Mus musculus: one gene and its partner. The protein of the gene in region 1 interacts with the protein of each later gene in a pairwise test. Links are inferred from orthologs where the notes say so. Each region holds a gene or a part of one and is shown in the gene's direction. Other genes may lie near its edges.

Region 1 (10,422 bases):
ATTTGTGTTCTGATTTACTGTCAATTCCCACCAAATATATGTAATATTGCGTGTTCATGTCAGTGTGGCACATAGCAATTCATACATATTGTTTCCTTATGAAACAATTCAATATTATATTTGCATCTCAGGGTGTGGCTCGGTGATACCGTGCTTGCTGAGCAGAAGTAAGTCCCTGCATTTGATCCCTAGCAACCCTCCAAAAGTACAACCTAAAATTTTACAAAGAACAGAGGGTGAGTTTTATGATCCCCAGTTGAGAGGGGGCGGAGACGAAGCTGAAGAAACCCCGTGACTGGTTTCAGGCCCCAGGGGTGGGTCTCAGCCAAGGGTTCCCGCTCTGTAGCACAGCCTCCTGCCAATGAAGGAAACTGGGCAGTTCCCGGATGTGGTCTTGCCCATGTGCTTGTCAGTAGAATCTGCTTTCCTCTCTCTCTCTCTCTCTCTCTCTCTCTCTCTCTCTCTCTCTCTCTCTCTCTCTCTCTCCCCTCTTACTCCTCTTCACCCCCTCCCTTCCAACCTCTCCTTACTTGGCTAAAGGAGTCTCATTCTCAAATCTCCTCAGGAATCGCTGTGTAGGTAGCTTTCTTCCTATGCATCCTCTGAGAACTCTATTACAGCTGCAAACTATATCACAGCACTCACCTTCCTGGCTGGAATGAGTCCCACTACCGCTCCATCCTGAGCTAAGGCAGTTGCCCCCATCTACACCCAGGGCACCCATCTTGCTCATTCTGTGCAGCCACCCTGGCCTCCTTACTGCCCCCCAGAACTTGACAGGCACATTCCCTGCTAGACTTTATTGCCACTGCCAAGCGTCTAGAACACTTCTCCCCTGATCCAGAAGCTATCCTCAGGTGGGGACTACACCCCCGCCCCCACGTCGTCTTTCCCTTCTCGGTTACTATATGAAGCAAATACGATATAGAACTGTTTGTAAAAAAAAAAAAAAAAAAAGGAAAAGTGGTGTAAGTGAATTATTATGTAGCACATTGACACGAGCACACGAAGATTTTAAATGTGTTTGGTGGGAATTGACGCTGAATGAGAACTCGGATGCTTCAGGAGGCTCCAGCTTTTCAAGGCACATCCATTCCTCATAGCTCCCTCCTAATCTTGGCCTGTTTAGGTTGCCGTAGCAAACATCGCAGCGTACCTTACAGGAACTTACTTCTCACAGTTCCGTAAGGAAGTCTGAGATCAGAGAGCTGGCAGATCTGGTGTCTGGCAAAGGTCCATCTCTGGGTCACAGTCAGCTTCTTGTAGCTGTGTCCTCCCGTGGGAGTGGAGGCCAGCCAGCTCTCTGGGGATTCTTTACACAGACACTAATCTATTCATGTGAATGCCATGCTCATGACCATGCAAGTGTTAGGTACAGTATTTTCCACGTGGCTTAGCCTTCCCCAGAGGTATTACCTGGGCTCTGGCATAAGCCCGGGTAACCTCTTCACTGAGGGTTTTGCACACATGCAATTGGGCCAGATGAATGATGCTTTATTCTCCCTCAGTGGGGCTCATAAACCCATTGTGGAATCAGTACTTTAGCACCTACCAGAAACTTTAAGATGGTCTTGTCTTGAAGTTGCAAATGAGAGAAGTGAGCAGAGAGTGCAGCTTTTAACAATCTCTGTTTCCTACCATGGATATTTTTGGTTCATTGGTTTCGTTTGGTTTGGTTTGGTTTGGTTTGGTTTGGTTTGGTTTGGTTTGGTTTGATTGTTTTGGTTTTTGGTTTTTTGAGACAGGATTTTTTTGTGTAGTCCTGGCTGTCCTGGAATTCACTATGTAGATCAAGTTGGACTTGAACTCACAGAAATCCATCTGTCTCTGCCTCCTGAAGGCTATAATTAAAGCCCTGTAATCACCACTGCCCATCCAGGGATATTTATTTTTATTTTATGATGTATAAATATACTATATAACAAATATTATATGATTATTGTATTCTATATCATATGATATCTTAATAGATTATCAATTCAAATAATATTTTCTTTAGCACCTATTATGTTCCAGGGATCATGTTAAGAATGAGTTAAACTCTTCTCTGTCCTTAGATAGCTTCCCATCTGAGAAAATAGATCTTAAAAAGTATTATAGTACCACACAGGTCTTCTAGAGAACCTTGGGAAATTTCTCCAGAGAGATGGTATTACATTAGAGCACACATGAGACTTCCACTCACCCAGCCCTGCCAGTCCCTTCCTCAGCACCACACCCTGGGCATTGTCAAAGTTGCTATAGGAAGCCTAACCAGTTTCCGAATAGCGGGTACCAGAGGCCTGACACAGGTCATACATACTCATTCTGTCAGCAATGGGCTGCTACAGCTGTGGCCCCAAGACACACAAGGTCTCTCTCCCTACCTGCCTTTGTCCCTGAGCCAGCCCAGGGTGCCCTAGTGCCAGAGGCCTGCAGCTAGGCTTCAGCAGAGCTCTCCAGGCAGCCTGCTGCCTCCCCGCTGTGCTCACCGATGGAAGACGTGACATCCATCTTCCCAGGCAGCCTCAGGGCGCACTGCCAAAGCCCCCCTTAGTCTACCCTGAGTGCTCCTGCAAAGTCAGGGGAGCTGCCACGTTCTGAAGGATGAAAAATAAATGCATCGCGCCTCTTACTGCTGTTGTGTTCTGTTTCTAGGCCTAGAAGAAAGCGGGGAAGAATTTGCCAGGATGCTTACAGAGCTCCTGTTTGAATTACACGTCGCCGCCACACCTGACAAACTCAATAAGGTCGGAACCAACCCTTTCTGTGTCTTTGGTTTTAAAGGGGGACTGGAGAAAGAGGGTCTTGGTGGTAAGATTCCTCAGATTCGCAAGAAATGGGGGGAAAACCCCGCCAACACCCCCCCCCACGACATAACAGGGGGAGAGGCGTCTGAGGTCAGTAATTGGTACCTTCGGAGGCACCCTAATGGATGCAAGGCTTCTGAGACCTCCCATTCTGTAATTTACGAGTAATTATCTAGTGACCTTGAGAAAGTCAGTTGCCCTTTCACAGGGGAATAGACTGTTCTGTCAGAGGATGATTATCTTCGGGGGGGGGGGGGGGCATCACGGGACTTTCCAGACTCTTCTCCCACCCTTGCTTTTTAAAGAGACATGCAGGTTTTAGAGCGAAGAGGGAAGCTCAGACCTTTCCGCCCACCTGGGCTGCCGCTGCCGCTCCAACACATCTTAGGAAAGTCCAGCTTTGCCATTACAGATTCCTCTAACTTCACAGTGCATTTTGCAAGTTAGAACCAGGTCTAACTGTAGGATTCCTTAAGGAGGTGCTGGTCACTAATTACCCAAGGCTATGTGATTTCTTTTCTATCTCCCTCTCGCTTTCCTCCTGACTCTTACCTGACCTAGCAGTGGTTTGCATAGCCACTCACCTGTTATAATGGGTGAAGGAAGGACAGAATGAGGTACAGAAGCGGTGAGATGAGGAATTTCTTTCTCTCTGTTAGGGGTCAGTGAGCCGACAGGTCAGCTGGGAAATTACCTCGTTCATCTCCCTACAGCACCTGCCACAGCTTGGAGTGGAGAGGGGTGGACTTCTCAGTTGCATGGGTCAGCCTTTATTCCTAAAAGAGTTCTTTTTAGGGTGGCTCTCCCCTAATCTGCTATCTCTTAAAATACCTCCCAACATTCTGACATGTTAAACATTGACATAGGCTTTAAGGTAACTCAGTGTTTTAGCATAAGATGAGTGACATCTTCTACTTAAGCAAACGTTGTAAACGATCCGATGGGCTCTAGATAAGTCTGTCCTGTCTCGGAATTCAGGAATCAATAGGCCGGGTAAGGAAGGTGGTCTCGGCAGTTTCCAATTAGCTACGATTTTGTAAGTCACGAGTTGCTTATGTGGCTCTCCTGGAGTGCCAGCCCTCTGCTCATCCTAGAGGTTGGACAGAGGGCCTGCCATGAATCTGAAGGAGCAAAGCCATTGATCTTCTTCCCATCTATACGTTATTGTTTCCTGAGATGACGAGGGCTTTAGGAAAACCACCACAGGAGGAACCTGGCTTCAGCCATGACTTCTACTGATTTCTAGCCTATTCGATAAAGAGTACAGTTCATCTTTTTATCACCAGCCATGAACCACGAAAAATACATTGTAGATTTTGCAGCTTCTGTCCTTTTCCTCATCTGAATGTCATTTTAAAATACCCTTTTAGAAGTTCGATGTGTTCTATATACTTTCCATTCTGCCCTTGTCTCCTCGTCTGCCCTGGAGGGTCCAGGTTGAGAGCACTTGGTTTTCACATTCCCACACTAAATGTGTTGTTTGGTTGGTTGGGACCATGGCAGGCCATGAAGAAAGCTCATGACTGGGTGGAAGAAGATCAAAGCGTGGTGTCGATAGATGTGGCCAAAGGGTCGGAGGAGGAAGAGAAGGAAGAAGGAAAGGAAGAGAAAGCCGAAGAACCTGAAGAAGACAAAACAGGGGGCCAAGGAGCTAAGACTGTAGAGGTAAACCTGCCTGCATCAGCCACAGTTATCTGTGATAATTCTATAAGGAGCCTCGTTTAAAGCGAGGAGGACCGCTTTCTATTTACACCATGCCCTACATCCTAGTAAGACTGCAATAGACAATCCAGATTTCTATCCCAAGACAATTTATGGCTTAGCGTAGATTTTGTAGCTTTTCTCCATAATTTTATAATTTAAAAGCAGAAAGATCTTCCAGAACATAATTGATTTATCTTTATGCAAATCTGCTACTATAAATTGTCTTTATGCTCCCTTGCTAATGAGGCAATTGGAGCTCTCTTTCAATGCTGTGGCTTCTTTCCTGCAGTTTAGTACACTCATATGCCTATACTTTATGTCCTGCCTGTGCTCCAAAAGTCATCTGTGATAATTGTTCCTTATGCTGAGTTCCAATTTTAAAGTGACAAAGGTATGGTTCTCCAAAGAAAAATGTCCACTGGAGTGTGCCATGCATCTTCTCTTCCACGCACCCCACTTACCATAACCTGCCTAGTGTGTGGCCAGCAACAGCCTGACTCTTGAAGACACAAATGTGAATAGGCTTGTCTTATCCCTGGGGACCTGGCAGCGTTGCCATTGAGTGCACACACACACACACACACACACACACACACACACATTTTGTATGTAATGCATGGTTTGTCTTTGTGTGGAGACCAGAGGTTGCCACTGAACCTGGAGCTAACATAATATTGGCTATGGCCAGTGACCCCCAGCCATCAGCCCATCTCCATCCTCCAGTCCTGAGGCTAAAGCTGTGCAGCACTTAGGAAGGTGCTAAGGACACAAACTCAGGTTCTCATGCTTGTGCAAAAGCACTTTACTGACTAAGCCACGCCCCCACACCCTTGGAATTTTATAGGGATACAGGATTACATCATCTAGGGGCCAGGGTGTAGTTCAGCAATACAGTATGTGCTTCGAATCATGTCCCGTTTTTTAACGCGATGGGGGTTTTTGAAAAGAGGCTGCTTAGTGAGTAATTCTCTTGTGTGCGTCCATTTCAGGAAGTGTACATGCTGTCCATTGAAAGTCTGGCTGAAGTCACTGCACGCTGCATTGAACAGCTACATAAGGTTGCAGAGTTGATTCTCCATGGACAAGAGGAGGAGAAACCAGCTCAAGACCAAGCAAGAGTTCTGATAAAGTTAATGCAACTTTCAATTCTTCCCCTTTAGATTGTATGTGTGTGTGCATGTATGCATGTGTGTGTGTGTGCATGTATACATGTGTGTGTGCATGTATGTGTGTGTGTGCATGTATGCATGTGTAGATGTGTGTGTGCATGTATGCATGTGTGTATGTGTGCATGTATACGTGTGTGTGTGCATGTATGCATGTGTGTGTGTTATGTACATGTATACATGTGTGGACGTGTGTGCATGTATACATGTGTGGACGTGGATGTGTGTGTGTGCATGTATACGTGTGTGTGTGTGTGTGTGCGTGTGCGTGTGCGTGTGCATGTGTGGACATGTGAATGTGTGCCATTCAAATGCACATACACATGTACCCTAAACACCTGAAAATTTAGATTTTCATGTCAACTGTTATGGTCATTTTAAGAAATAAGGATTCTGTTAGGAAATACATTATATAGCAATAATAATAATACATAGAAGATAAGGACTCCCTTAGAAAATACATTATACAGCAATAATAATAATAGTAATAATACATAGGAGTTTTTGAGAGATTTAAGAGGAGACACACTAATGCATTCAGAGGTATAAACATGTTTGTTTTAATAGATTGATTTCTTCAAGGCACAGAACATTGAGGGTAACTACATATTCATACCATACCAACAGAGAAAGGACAGTCTAATATAACTTTTCAGTTCCCCATACAAAAGTAGGCAGACACACACCACCCTTTTCAGCAACGTTACCTGACCTGCCTGGTCTGTTCTCTGGGCATGCTAGCCACTAATGCAAGACAGTTCACTGCAGGCTGCATTCCTGTGCCATACACTGAAGTTTATGTTCTTCAATAACCAGTTGTTGTTGTTGTTGTTAATTTATCTAGTATTATGCAAACATGAATATACATAAGCTATGTGTATATATGTATATATATATACATATATATATATATATGAAAACAGTTGGTGTGAAATCTTTTTGAAAATAGAAAATATTGCTAAAAATAAATCATTAACTTTTATGTGTATAATTATATATTATGACATGTGGATTATCAGCAGATGTTCAAATACCCCTTTGTTATTATTAAAACAAGGGAGCCAAATTATCACCCAAGAAAGAACACACACATACACATACACACACACCTACCATATTATTCATATGCACTTCACCATCTCACTAATTTTACTACATCTGACAAGGAAAATTATGTATTTAGAAATAAACTTCACAGTATGTGATAATTCTAGAGAGATAGCGTATTTTCTAACATATGGAAAGAAAAAGAAAGGTTTTGAAACGCTGAGGGCAGTGTCTAGCTACTGCCTTGCCTTTGTAAAGACCTGAAAGGGGAGGGCTAAGGCTCAGAAATCCCATGACGTGGGTCCTAGGACCTTGCTCTTAGCACCTTTCCGATTCCCTTGTTTGTGCCAACCTCATCCAGCTGTGCTGACCCCGAGCTGGTCAGTCGGTTCAGTGAGTGCCCTCCCACCACCTTCCCAAGAGCACACAGTATGGTCTCTGATGTCTTCTGGCCTCACCCACAATGACTTCTTCAGACAAATTTCAGATGGATGGATGGACACCTCCATATGGTTCATCATACCTAGTACTTAGGCCTAGGGGTGTAGTTCAGTGGCAAGCCTGCTAGCACATGGAGGCCCTAGGTCTGTTCCCCGGCATCACACAGGAGCGGAGGGCAGAGAGATGACTGATCTGCTAAAGTACCGCTGTGTTCACCTGAGCACCTGACTCCAATCCCCACACACAAAAAGCCAGACAGGGCCGCAGGCAGCTGTAATCTCAGAGAAGGATCCATACCTCCTTCCCCCAGCATGTGGCGTATGCACATACAAGCACCTACACATACACAAAAGAAAACGCTACACATACACAAAGAAAACCCTGCATATATAGATTAGACAGAATCTCTATCAAAAAAAAAAAAAAAAACAAGACAAAACAAACCATTTTCTTTGCCTTCAGTAGCTCTCCTAACATGAAATATTCTTTTGTTTTTCTAATAGTATTTTATTCACTATCAACCACACACTGTAATTGTTAGGGGAAAATCAGACAGGACACACAATATATTTGGCAATCATATTGTTTTCTGTCTTTGTCATCTGTGGTGTTAGTATAAACCTTCTGATTAATTTTGTCTCTCTTGCTTCATTTTCTTGGAGTAAAGACTTAAAAGGGAATGGCCAAAGGAAAGTCCACGTTTGGAGATGTAAAGAGAATTTCCAGGGATCGTTGTTTTGAGGCAAATAGGAGTCACACAAGCAGGATGCAGGGAGAATCTGGATGTGGTAGAGCACGGCCACTGTCCCAGATCTCTGTAGGCTGAGGCAGGAGGATCTTTGGAAGTCAAGGCACGCCAGACTGAGACACATAGTGACACACTGCTGAAAGGGAAAGGAAGGAGTTAGATGCTTGCCGAGTCACACCCGAGACCCTGGGTTGTTCTCCAGCACCAAGAAGGGTGCATGCATGTGTGTGTGCATGCATGCATGTTGAATGAATGCCTGCATTTGCATTTTAATCCCCTTTCTACACTCGCCACTGTATGCCCCATGCAGGTGACTTGGCAGATTCAGTTTAGTCATGAGATGACATGTGAACGAGTGCCTCACTGAACGTTCATTATTTTAAAATGACCCAGACACCGGAGGAAAGTCACCTGGCCCGAGTTTGCACTCCTGTGAAAAAGATGCTCAGGCCTGCTATTTCCCTGCACGTGGCTTTGATTCTAAAAGGAGGGCAAATTAATTAGAGTATTGTTCCTTAATTAAACATGGAAAGAAAACTGTGAACCATGGATGATTGTCGAGGATGACTGCACAATTTTGTAGAGCGACTTCAATCTCTGCTTTTGACGTCATACTGCCATTCATGTCATGCTAATCATCACAAGGTTTACGTTACTTTATAGAAAATCCCACAAACCTCTTTTTTTTTTTTTCCTTATTTCAGATTAACCACAGCAATGTGCAATGAAGTAACCTCCTTATCGAAGAAGTTTACAAATTCTTTAACCACTGTTGGGGTAAGAATACAATTCGGGTTATTTTCTTACATTGTTGAGGGAAGTGGAGCTGTGAGAAGTCAGGACTATGACACTTTTTAGCACAACTCCATAATCACAGCTGTGTCATGCTGTTTTTCTAAAATCAGGCAGAGGTCCCCTCTCTAAGCACCACTAGCCTAGGGCTCTCCTCTGCCATGGGCACAGACTCCAGTCTGCTGTCTGCCTGGGCTGTAGACTCCAGTCTGCTGTCTCAGACATCATCTGGACTGTGGTGGGTGGTCAGATCTCCGTGGACCTGGCCTTATTCATATATCAAAAGAAAGGGTGTCAAAGGAAGGTACTTTTCCTTTGCTTATTATCTATCTTCACATTACTCAAGAATCTCTATTAAAATAACTAACTTTAAATATTATTGTTCAGTATTATCCTCAGTCTAAATAAGCCACATATGATAAGAATTTTAAAAAAAAGTGTTGTCAAAAAGTGTTGTCAATTAACATCTAAGTGTTTCTGTTCTTAAGATAATAGCTGTGAAATGTTGCATGTATTTCAACGTGTGGCTTCTGATTACCTATCTCGGTTGTGCCCTTTTCTGTCCCAGGTAGCCCTTGTGGGCTGGGGAAATGGCTTAGCCGACGAAGGATTTCATGTTCAAGTGTGAGACTCTGAGTTCAGATCCCCAGAGTGTGCTGGTAATCGCAGTGCTCTGGAGGAAGACAAGGGCCTTCCCCAGAGCAAGATGGCTTGCTGGAGGAGTAGCTAAATGGGCTAGCTCTAGGTTCAGCAAGAGACCTTGTCTCAGTAAATAAAGAAGAGTGTGATTGAGGAAGACACCCACTGAGCATCAACCTCTGCCTCTATACACGTGTGCACACACATGCATGCAAACATGTGTGATTCCCCCATACTACACATATATACATGGGGGATGATGAAACCAATTGTATTATAAAGCCCACCTTAGTAGAGCAGGAGTAGCCCTACTAAGTGGGAAACACTCCTCTTTTATCTTCCTACTTCTAAAGCCCCTAGATGCAAGATCTGACTCTTTCCCAGAGACACAGGAAATAGGCTTTAGTTGGGGTATTTACTATTGCAATGTACAGTTTCAGTTTCCAAGGAATGACTGGAAGTCTGAAACCAGGGCTATGCTCTCTCTGAGGCCTCTGGGGGTGGGTTATAAATGGCTCAGATAAAGGGATGCTTTATGGAAGTTGGTGGAAGACTATGAACAGCTCTGGGGACCCAGCAACAGAGAAACAATGTCTCATCTTTTTTTCTTTTTTTTGGGGGGGGGGGGCTTGAGACAGGGTTTCAGGGTTTCTCTGTATAGCCCTGGCTGTCCTGGAACTCACTCTGTAGACCAGGCTGGCCTTGAACTCAGAAATTCACCTGCCTCTGCCTCCCAAGAGCTGGGATTAAAGGTGTGCGCCACCACGCCCAGGTCTGTCTCATCTTTCACATTCCTTTTTCTGAGTCAGAAGTTTCAGAAGACCACCAGCATAGGTCAGACAGCAGATGACCACCTTGATGTCACTCAGCTGTGACTGGGGGCAAGATGGTGGCATGTAGACCTACATAGCTGCTGGGTGTAACTGCACTGTAGGCAAAGAGCAGTTCTTAAAAGAAATGGGATATCAGTCCCCCATATGTCTGCTAAGTGAGCCTATGGATAAAGGGTGAGTTGTGGGCCACTAACCCATTCTGCTGTCAAGTCTGGTTTGCTCATTCTATCTTGGGCTTACCTAGTTTAGGTTTTCAGCAAGGC
Region 2 (8,401 bases), on another chromosome or scaffold:
CAAGGCTCAAGTTCTCAAAAAAAAAATGGTAAAATTTCATACACTGCAGCTTTGACTTTCGCTTGCTCAAATAAGTTTTATGCTTTCTAATAGGAAAATCTGTCAACCAAAAGTTTTCCTGAATATCTTACAGCAGTGGCTCTCAACGTTCCTAATGCTGCATGGACCCTTTATTATGGTTCCTCATATTATGGTGACCCCCAACCATAAAATTATTTTCGCTGCTATTTCACAAATATAAGTTTGCTACTGTTATGAATCACAAAGTATCTGTTTTCCTATGGTCTTAGGTGACCCTTGTGGAAGGTCTTAGAACATCCAACAACCATTACTTCTACTTCACGCCATCTTTAAAAACCAAACCAAACCAAACCAAACCAAACCCTGTTATTATAGTCATTTGACAACTGGAATCCAAAGGTGACATAGTCAGTCTGTGATCACTGGGAAACAGGTGCACTCTACCCCCTTCTATGTTCTCTGGCAGCTATTTCTTTCCCTCTGTCGTTCTTTAGCCAAGCAAACAGATGCCACATCAGTAGGATGAACCACTTTTATCAGAAAAGACATTTCAAATAAAAGAGCCCCCTATAGAATTCAAGAAATAACAACTGTCCGAAGTTATTCCCTGCTGGATAAACAACTTTCTTTATCTCGATTTCTTTACTGAAAAAATTTTTTTTCTTTCTTGCTGTCTCCCAAGATTGTTAGTTATTTCACCCCCAACCAAAGAACAATTCCTTTCGTTCTTCCTATTCAGAACAGAAACTCCTCAAACAAGCCGTCTCTTCAACATCCTGGTTTCCTCATGACAGCCGCTTTCGGTTCTCCCCCACCCCCACCCCCTCCACAGTCCTTAGAGGAGCTCGAAGCCTCGGCCACTGTCCCCTCCAGCTCCCGCCAGCCCCCGCGCTCACCCCCACCGTCCTTCCCTAACCGCTGCCTAGGCCCTCCGGCGCCCCAGCATCAGCAGCTTTTGCTCACCTCGGCTCCTGACAGGAAAGGGTGCGAGGGCCCAGTGATCGTCAGGTAATTGTCATTTCCTCCGGGAAACTGTAAACCAAAAGAAAGCCGCGGTGGGTGAGTGAGCGGAGCAGTGGCGTGCTGAGACCCCAGCCCTCCCGAGCCCCCCTGGCTCCTCGCTGCCCTGCATTCCCGCTTCCGCTTCCCCTAGTCGGCCGCGAACCCTCATCAGCCCTCAAAGACTCGGCACCCACCTCCATCTTCACAGCACCACTACCAGCGACTCAGCGTCTCCGCGTCCGCATCGCTCCCACCGCCCCCACTAGGTTCCGAGCGCGTCACTTCCTCAAGGAGAAAGCGTCGCTCTCCGATGATTGGACCGAGTCAGGGACGCAACCAGTCTCGATCCCAGCTGCCCGAAGGGTCGCTGTCGCCCCCTGGAGCTTGGTGGGATAATGGCATGTAGAAGAGCACTGGGTGGCCCTAGAGGCGGCGTCCGGTACAGCCGATCCAGCGAAGATTTCTGGGGGAGAGCAATAGAGACGCAGCTTGAGCTAGAAGGGCTGGAGCGGAGGCAAATAAGGAGACCCGTAGATTGAGTGGCTAGAGAGGTCGGAGGTAAGTGGCTGTAGAAATCGGGAGGACCCGGAACACAGACGCCTCGGGACCATGACTTACGCTTATCTCTTCAAGTACATCATCATCGGAGACACAGGTAACCCGCCGACGGACCGCCTTCGGAGTTGGGGCGGGGATCCTACCTCCAAAATCGGCTTGGGGGCGGGGCGGGGTGAGCGGAGTTGCGCGGAGGGGGCGGGGCGAGCCCCGGGGGCGGGGCTCTGCCCCTGCCTTAGACCCTGTTCCCTGTCTGGGAGCCAGCGGCTTCCCGGGTGACGTGCGTCTAGTGAACACCGTTCTTTCGCAGGTGTGGGGAAGTCATGTCTCCTCCTTCAGTTTACCGACAAGCGGTTCCAGCCCGTGCACGACCTCACAATAGGTAAGCTATCCCCTCGTTCCAGAACAGCTAAAAGCTAGCTGCCAGAACTGCTAAAGGAGAAAGTTACAGTCTCAGTATTCTAAATAAAAAGTTACTTCTCGGCCGGGCGTGGTAGCTCGCGCCTTTAATCCCAGCACTCGGGAGGCAGGTGGATTTCAGAGTTCGAGGCCAGCCTGGTCTACAAAGTGAGTTCCAGGACATCCAGGGCTACACAGAGAAACCCTGTCTTGAAAAACCAAAAAAAGTTACTTCTCGCTACCTTGGTCTGAAATCATGGTATATGAAAAATGATAAAAGCTGGTAAGTGGAGGATAAATGATTGAAAGGTAACTTTAGAGATGGATGTAAGATACTAGTTGCCGTAGGATTTTTTTTTCTTCCAATGCAACTTGTATGTTTATGGAAAAATCCCACGGAAACATGACTGCTTATTAAACATCTCATCTGTATTTTGTTATTAACTACCAGCTTCACATGTTTTTCAACATAAACACCAACATAGGATTCTTTTAAGTCTGGAGAGGTAAAAGCCAATGTACGGACATTGCAGTTCTTCCTGCACAGACACCTCCTCTAATCTCTTCACCTTCTCTTCTTTTAGGAGCAAATAGCCTCAGATTCATTATATAACCCACACTGGACACAAACTCCCAGAGATCCTCCTGCATTAGACTCTCCCCCCCCCACCCCCTCGGGACAGGGTTTCTCTCTGTGTGGCCCTGGCTGTCCTGGAACTCACTCTGTAGGACAGGCTGGCTTCAAAAATCAGAAATCCGCCTGCCTCTGCCTCCCAAGTGCTGGGATTAAAGGCGTGCGCCACCACTCCCAGCCTCACGGACTTTCGTAATAAGTTTGTTTTTGCGCCGAGACTGGCTTTAAGCTTCCTGGGTAACCTGACCATGATTTTGACTTGATCGTCCTAAATGCTGGGATTAGATATGCACCACTATACTCAGCCTGTTTTTTAGTTTCTTACTCATTGAAATTACATTCTTATTGTTCTGAGAGAAAAAAAAAGTTGACAGTGATTTTTTTTTTCCAAAAAAATATCTTTTTGATTTTTGTTGAGGTAATAGGTATTCAGAACAGGTATTTCATATAGCACCTTAAAGTAAAAATATTTATATAGAGTATGAATTCCTCATGCTATGTACAAAATACTATTTTGAAAATAGAAAAGGGGATGAATTGTCTGCTTATGATGCAGTGGGGTTTTTGTTTTTTTGAAATATTGTCCTTGAAAGAGATGAATTTTGCCTAGAAATAGAAAAGTGTCAAAAGCTCTATCAGTTCGTCAGTTTCCATACTGCTTTAAGAGAGGCTATTACCAATGTACTCTGGAAATTATTGGTGATTGAAGGTATTTTGTCCTTGAAGACCTGTTCCTTAGGCAGCTTCTTTAATTGCCAATGAAAACAGTTTTAGAATTGCAGTTTAAGAAGTGCTGCTTCATACACAGAACTAGTCAGTACTCTGAGACACTGTCGCGAAATGCTATCAATGGGCTGGAGAGCTGACTCAGCAGTTAAGAGCACCGACTGCTCTCCCAAGAACAAGGGTTCAATTCCCAGCACCCATCATCCTCTGTCACTCAAGTTCCAGGGGATCCTTTGGGTTCTTCTGGCCTCCACAGGTACCAGCCACATACGTCACACATACTTAACATGCAGGCAAAACACTTAACTTTCAAATAGTTCAGAAGTTCTTTGAGCCTGACAGTGGTGGCGCACGCCTTTAATCCCAGCACTCGGGAGGCAGAGGCAGGTGGATTTCTGAGTTCAAGGCCAGCCAGGTCTACAGAGTGAGTTCCAGGACAGCCAGGGCTAAACAGAGAAACCCTGTCTTGAAAAACCAAAACCAACCAACCAAACCAGCAAACAAAGAAGTTCTTTGAAAACAATTGTAGAATTAAATATTACCTAGTCAGATTTCAGTGTAAGCTAACATTCCTAAGCATTTATTCATCTCTTTTAGTTTTATTTGTCCCAGAATTGTTATGTTCATTTTCTAGAAATTTTTTTCTATGAATTGTAGCTTTGTAGTTTATTTTATGAAAAACTTTCCTGTAGTGGCTTTTTTTTTTTTTTTTGAGACAAGAGTTTTTCTGTATAGCCCTGGCTGTCCTAGAACTTGCTTTGTAGCGGGTACACATTCTTCAGATGTTATTTGCAAATCATTACAGTAACTGCAGTGCCACTTTTCTTAAGGCTAATTCTTAAGAAGATCTAGATAGAGTCTCTGTCATTATAAGGCCTTAAAACAAATCAACTGGTTATATAATAAATCAAACTTAGTTTATTACTAGAATTTATAAAACCAGATCTAGGGAAAGAACTAACTCTGGTAACACATACGTGGGTTTTTCCCCCTCAGATCTTAAAAAAAATTTTTTTGTATATATGTGTGTTTGTATTTGCACATGTGTGTACAGGTGCCTATAAGGGCTAGAGATCATTGACCCCTCTGCAGCAGGAGTTACAGGTAGTTGTGAGCCACTGGACAAGGGTGTTGGGAACCAAACTCTGTTCTGCTCCAAGACCAAGTGCTCTCAACCACTGACCATATCTCCAGCCCCCAGCCCCCTATGGTCTTAATATAGCAAGTGTCATCCAGACTGTAAAATCAAAACAGTGAGACTACTTGTATTTATTTTATCTGAATGAGCTTTGTTCCCTTTTCTACATCTGAGTTATTCTTAAGTCATTATCACTTAGAATCCACTTGTTTCTTTTTGGTGAAAGGGATTAAACCTAGTGAGTTATGTTCTAAGTAGTTACACTATCGCTGAGTTATACCTGTAGCTGTAGGGTAATCTCAGGCCAACCCTGAACTTGCTCTGTAAGTCATGATGACCTTGAACTTCTTATCCTAGGGCTCCTACTGCCTTTACCTCATGAGGCCTGGGATTAGATCACTGCCATGCTCAGTTAAGGGGTTCTGGGGCATGCATGTGGATGTGCACGTGCATGAGTGTGCAGATGCCCATAGGGCCCAGAACAGGGTATTGGAGTCCTTGAAGTTGGGGTTACAGGCAGTTATGAACTATCAGATGAGGGTGTTGATACCCAATTCCAGTCCAAGAAGCACATACATGCTTTGCTTTAGTGCTGAGCCATCTCTCTAGTCCTGTGTCCAGTTTTATGTGGATCTGGGGATTGACTCCAGAGCTTCTAGGCAAGTCCTGTATCAAGTGAGCTACATGTCCAGTCAGTGGGTTTTTAATTCTAGAAAAGAAACTAAAAGGAACACAAATTCAATTGGAGCAATAACCACTGTCGGGCTGAATGTCAGTGAGTGATGACAAAGGACTCATCATTATAACACTGGGGAAAAGTATGTGGCTCTAGATGGACATGTATGTGTTCATTACAGTCATGTTCGTTCTCTTGTCTTTCACTGACAGGTGTGGAGTTTGGAGCACGTATGGTCAACATCGATGGAAAACAAATCAAACTGCAAATCTGGGATACGGTAAGAGAGGGCAAAACAATTTAGTACCAGACTGAGGCCCAGTTATAACAGTAAAAGCTAATGCAGCCTTGTGGAATGCTAGACACCTGTAGTTTTAAAACTATAGGATGAGCCGGGCGTGGTGGTGCATGCCTTTAATCCCAGCACTCGGGAGGCAGAGGCAGGCAGATTTCTGAGTTGGAGGCCAGCCTGGTCTGTGAGTTCCAGGACAGCCAGGACTACACAGAGAAACCCTGTTTCAAAAACACCAAAAAAGAAGAAAAAAACAAAAACTGTAGGATGAGGCAAGGAGCCCAAGAAAGGTGAAGCCAAGAGGGAATACATACTGAGATATTCAGGTCAAAAACAAAGCATCATACCTTTTTTATTTGAAATGATTTGACTCTCAGGTGGAGGATGTTTAAGACCAGCCTGGTCTACAAAGTGAGTTCCAGGACAGCCCATGCTATACAGAGAAACCCAGTCTTGAAAAAACATAGCAAACTAAAAAAGACTCAACTAATACAGTAAAAAATAAAAACTTATAAAAGTTTATGTAGCCAAAGGTGACCGTCCTCTTACATAAGGCCCTTTTCTGTGTCACACTGTTGCTGTTCTGCCAGAAGACCCCACTGTTAATGATTCAGGGTGTATTCTTTCAGACTTCTGTGCACTGAAATCCCTAAAGAATAGAATGTGTCAGCCAGGAGTGGTGGCGCACGCCTTTAATCCCAGAGCTGGGGAGGCAGAGGCAGGCAGATATCTGTGTGTTATTTTTTTTTTGTAGACCAGACTAGCCTACAAAGTGAGTTCCAGGCCAGCCAGGCTACAGAGTAAGAAAGACCCGTCTAAATTAAATAAAATGAATAAATAAATAGGTAGATATAGATGGATAGATAGGTAGGTAGGTAGATAGGTAGGTAGATGGGTAGATATGTAGACAGACAGATGCAAGTTAATGGTAGAGGTTTTTGTTGTTGTTGTTGTTAATTTAAATAATGTATGTATTGCCTGTGTGCTTGACAGTAAGTGCATGTGACCTGGTGCAAGTGGAAGTCAGTTTTGTGCAGTGGTTCTCTTTCCATCTTTTAAAGAAAGGTTCCCGAGGACCAAGCTCAGGTTGTCAGGTTTGCATGACAAGTTCTTTGCTTACCGAGACATCTTGCCAGCCCAAGATTTTTGTCTTCATTAATATTAATATGTATAGAATTGTGACAAGAGTCGACATAGCTGTGTTGTTTATATAGTAGTTTTGATATTTTGGAGACGTTTTCTATCAGTATAATACAGATCTGACTCACTCGTTTTAACAACCGCATAGTCACGGAATGTTCGTACCATGTATTTATTTTAGCCGGCCTCCATTGCATTGATGGACATTAGTTTTGTTTTTAGTTTTCAACCATTGTACAGCTTCTTTAAACATTCTAATTTATTACAATTTTTTGCAAATGTTTGAGAATTTCTGTGGACTATTTGCCCAGAGATGAGAACTGAAGGTAAAAGTTGCCTGTGTTATAAATTTGTTTTGTTTTGTTTTGTTTTCCCGAGACAGGGTTTCTCTGTATAGCCCTGGCTGTCCTGGAACTCACTTTGTAGATCAGGCTGACCTCGAACTCAGAGATCCACCTGCCTCTGCCTCCCGAGTGCTGGGATTAAAGGCGTGCGCCACCACGCCCGGCTCCTGTGTTGTAAATTTTAATCAATGAAGTTTGGTGGTGAAGCTTTGCCTAATCTCAATATATTGCTTTTGTGTGTGATATTTCATGGCCATGTTGGTGGCTTTTTCTTTTTGTGCTTAAGTGCTGACATGAGCAATGGTGGGATCACGAAGAAAGTTTAGAGACGCGGCTGTATGAGCCTGTGGATAGGATCCTTAAGAACTGTAAGGCAAGCCTGGTAAGGGAATGCATGCCATCCCAGCGCTCAGGTGGGTCCCTGCAAGTTCAGGGTCAGCCTGGTCTACATAGATTTCTAAGCCAGTCAAAACAGTGAGAGGTTTCTCAAAAAAACAAAAACAAAATACCTCTGTACCCCCCGCCCCCCCCAAAAAAAAACTAAGCAAAAAACCCATCACCTACAAAAGACCAACAACAAAACCAGTATCTGACTTATAGCTGATATTTCAAACTGTATATCTTACTCTCACTTGGGAGAAATTACAAAGCTTCATTGAAGTTCCATGTTCAACTTGGTGTGGTGGCTTTCCTACTCCCATGTCTTAGTGATTGTCTGTTGTATGAGAAGACATTAGGACTAAGACAACTCTTATGAAAGAAACTTAATTAGGGGCTTCCTTACAGTTTGGGGGGTTATTCAGTGATCATATCATGGCAGGAAGCAGACCAACATGACACTGGAGCTGGAGCTGAGAGCTTTACATCTTGATCTGCAGGCCAAAACATCAAAGCCCTAGTGACACATTTCCTCCATCAAGGCCATACCCCTAGACCTTCCCAAACCGTCCTACTAACTGGGGCGTTCAAACAAATGAGCCTGGAGGGGGGGGGGGAATTCTCATTCAAACAGCCCATAGGCCAGTGCTTAAAAGGCAGAGGGAGGAGCAATGTGAATTCAAGGCTGGCCTGAGCTTCATCTCGAGGCTACAGAATTACACAAAATGAAACCAAACAAGAAAACTCCATGTTAGCTATTTGCTGCTTTAGACATTTTTTTTTTTTTTTTAGCTGACCAAGGACAAGGATGCTTGAGATTGATACGACCCCACTTAAGTTGAACTAGACAGTTTTTCCAGCCAGCACACTGGCTCCAAAGTGCTCATGAACATTGCTGACAGGAAAACGTAGGGTGCTTTTAAACAAAATCTCAGTGTTGTGCTTTTACCATCGAAGAGCTCAGGGTGAAAACCTGCTTAGATCAGAGAGGCAGGGGAAACGTCCAGGTGACCTTCTCCTCAGCCCAGGGCCCTCTGTCAAAAAACTTTCTTCAAACTGAATGTCCCTCCTTTCCACTTCCTGTGCATCTTGCTCT

Evidence for each region.
Region 2: the proteins of Fam114a1 (region 1) and Rab2b interact in binary tests that used the Homo sapiens proteins (3 or more experiments, as listed by UniProt). The two-hybrid records come from large-scale screens. The link is inferred for Mus musculus from reciprocal best matches to the Homo sapiens genes FAM114A1 and RAB2B.

Annotation. Positions count from the first base shown.
Region 1 is NC_000071.6:65,025,773-65,036,194, forward strand, and holds part of Fam114a1 (protein Noxp20), read left to right. Parts: intron 1-2,637; coding exon 2,638-2,729; intron 2,730-4,292; coding exon 4,293-4,454; intron 4,455-5,482; coding exon 5,483-5,622; intron 5,623-8,599; coding exon 8,600-8,672; intron 8,673-10,422. UniProt on the Homo sapiens protein: May play a role in neuronal cell development.
Region 2 is NC_000080.6:52,272,473-52,280,873, reverse strand, and holds the start of Rab2b (ras-related protein Rab-2B), read left to right. Parts: upstream 1-1,478; 5' UTR 1,479-1,632; coding exon 1,633-1,678; exon of another isoform or gene 1,679-1,728; intron 1,729-1,888; coding exon 1,889-1,960; intron 1,961-4,253; exon of another isoform or gene 4,254-4,343; intron 4,344-5,363; coding exon 5,364-5,431; intron 5,432-8,401. Other genes in the region: Tox4 (TOX high mobility group box family member 4), read right to left, coding at 985-1,053, 1,218-1,223. UniProt on the Homo sapiens protein: The small GTPases Rab are key regulators of intracellular membrane trafficking, from the formation of transport vesicles to their fusion with membranes. Rabs cycle between active GTP-bound and inactive GDP-bound states.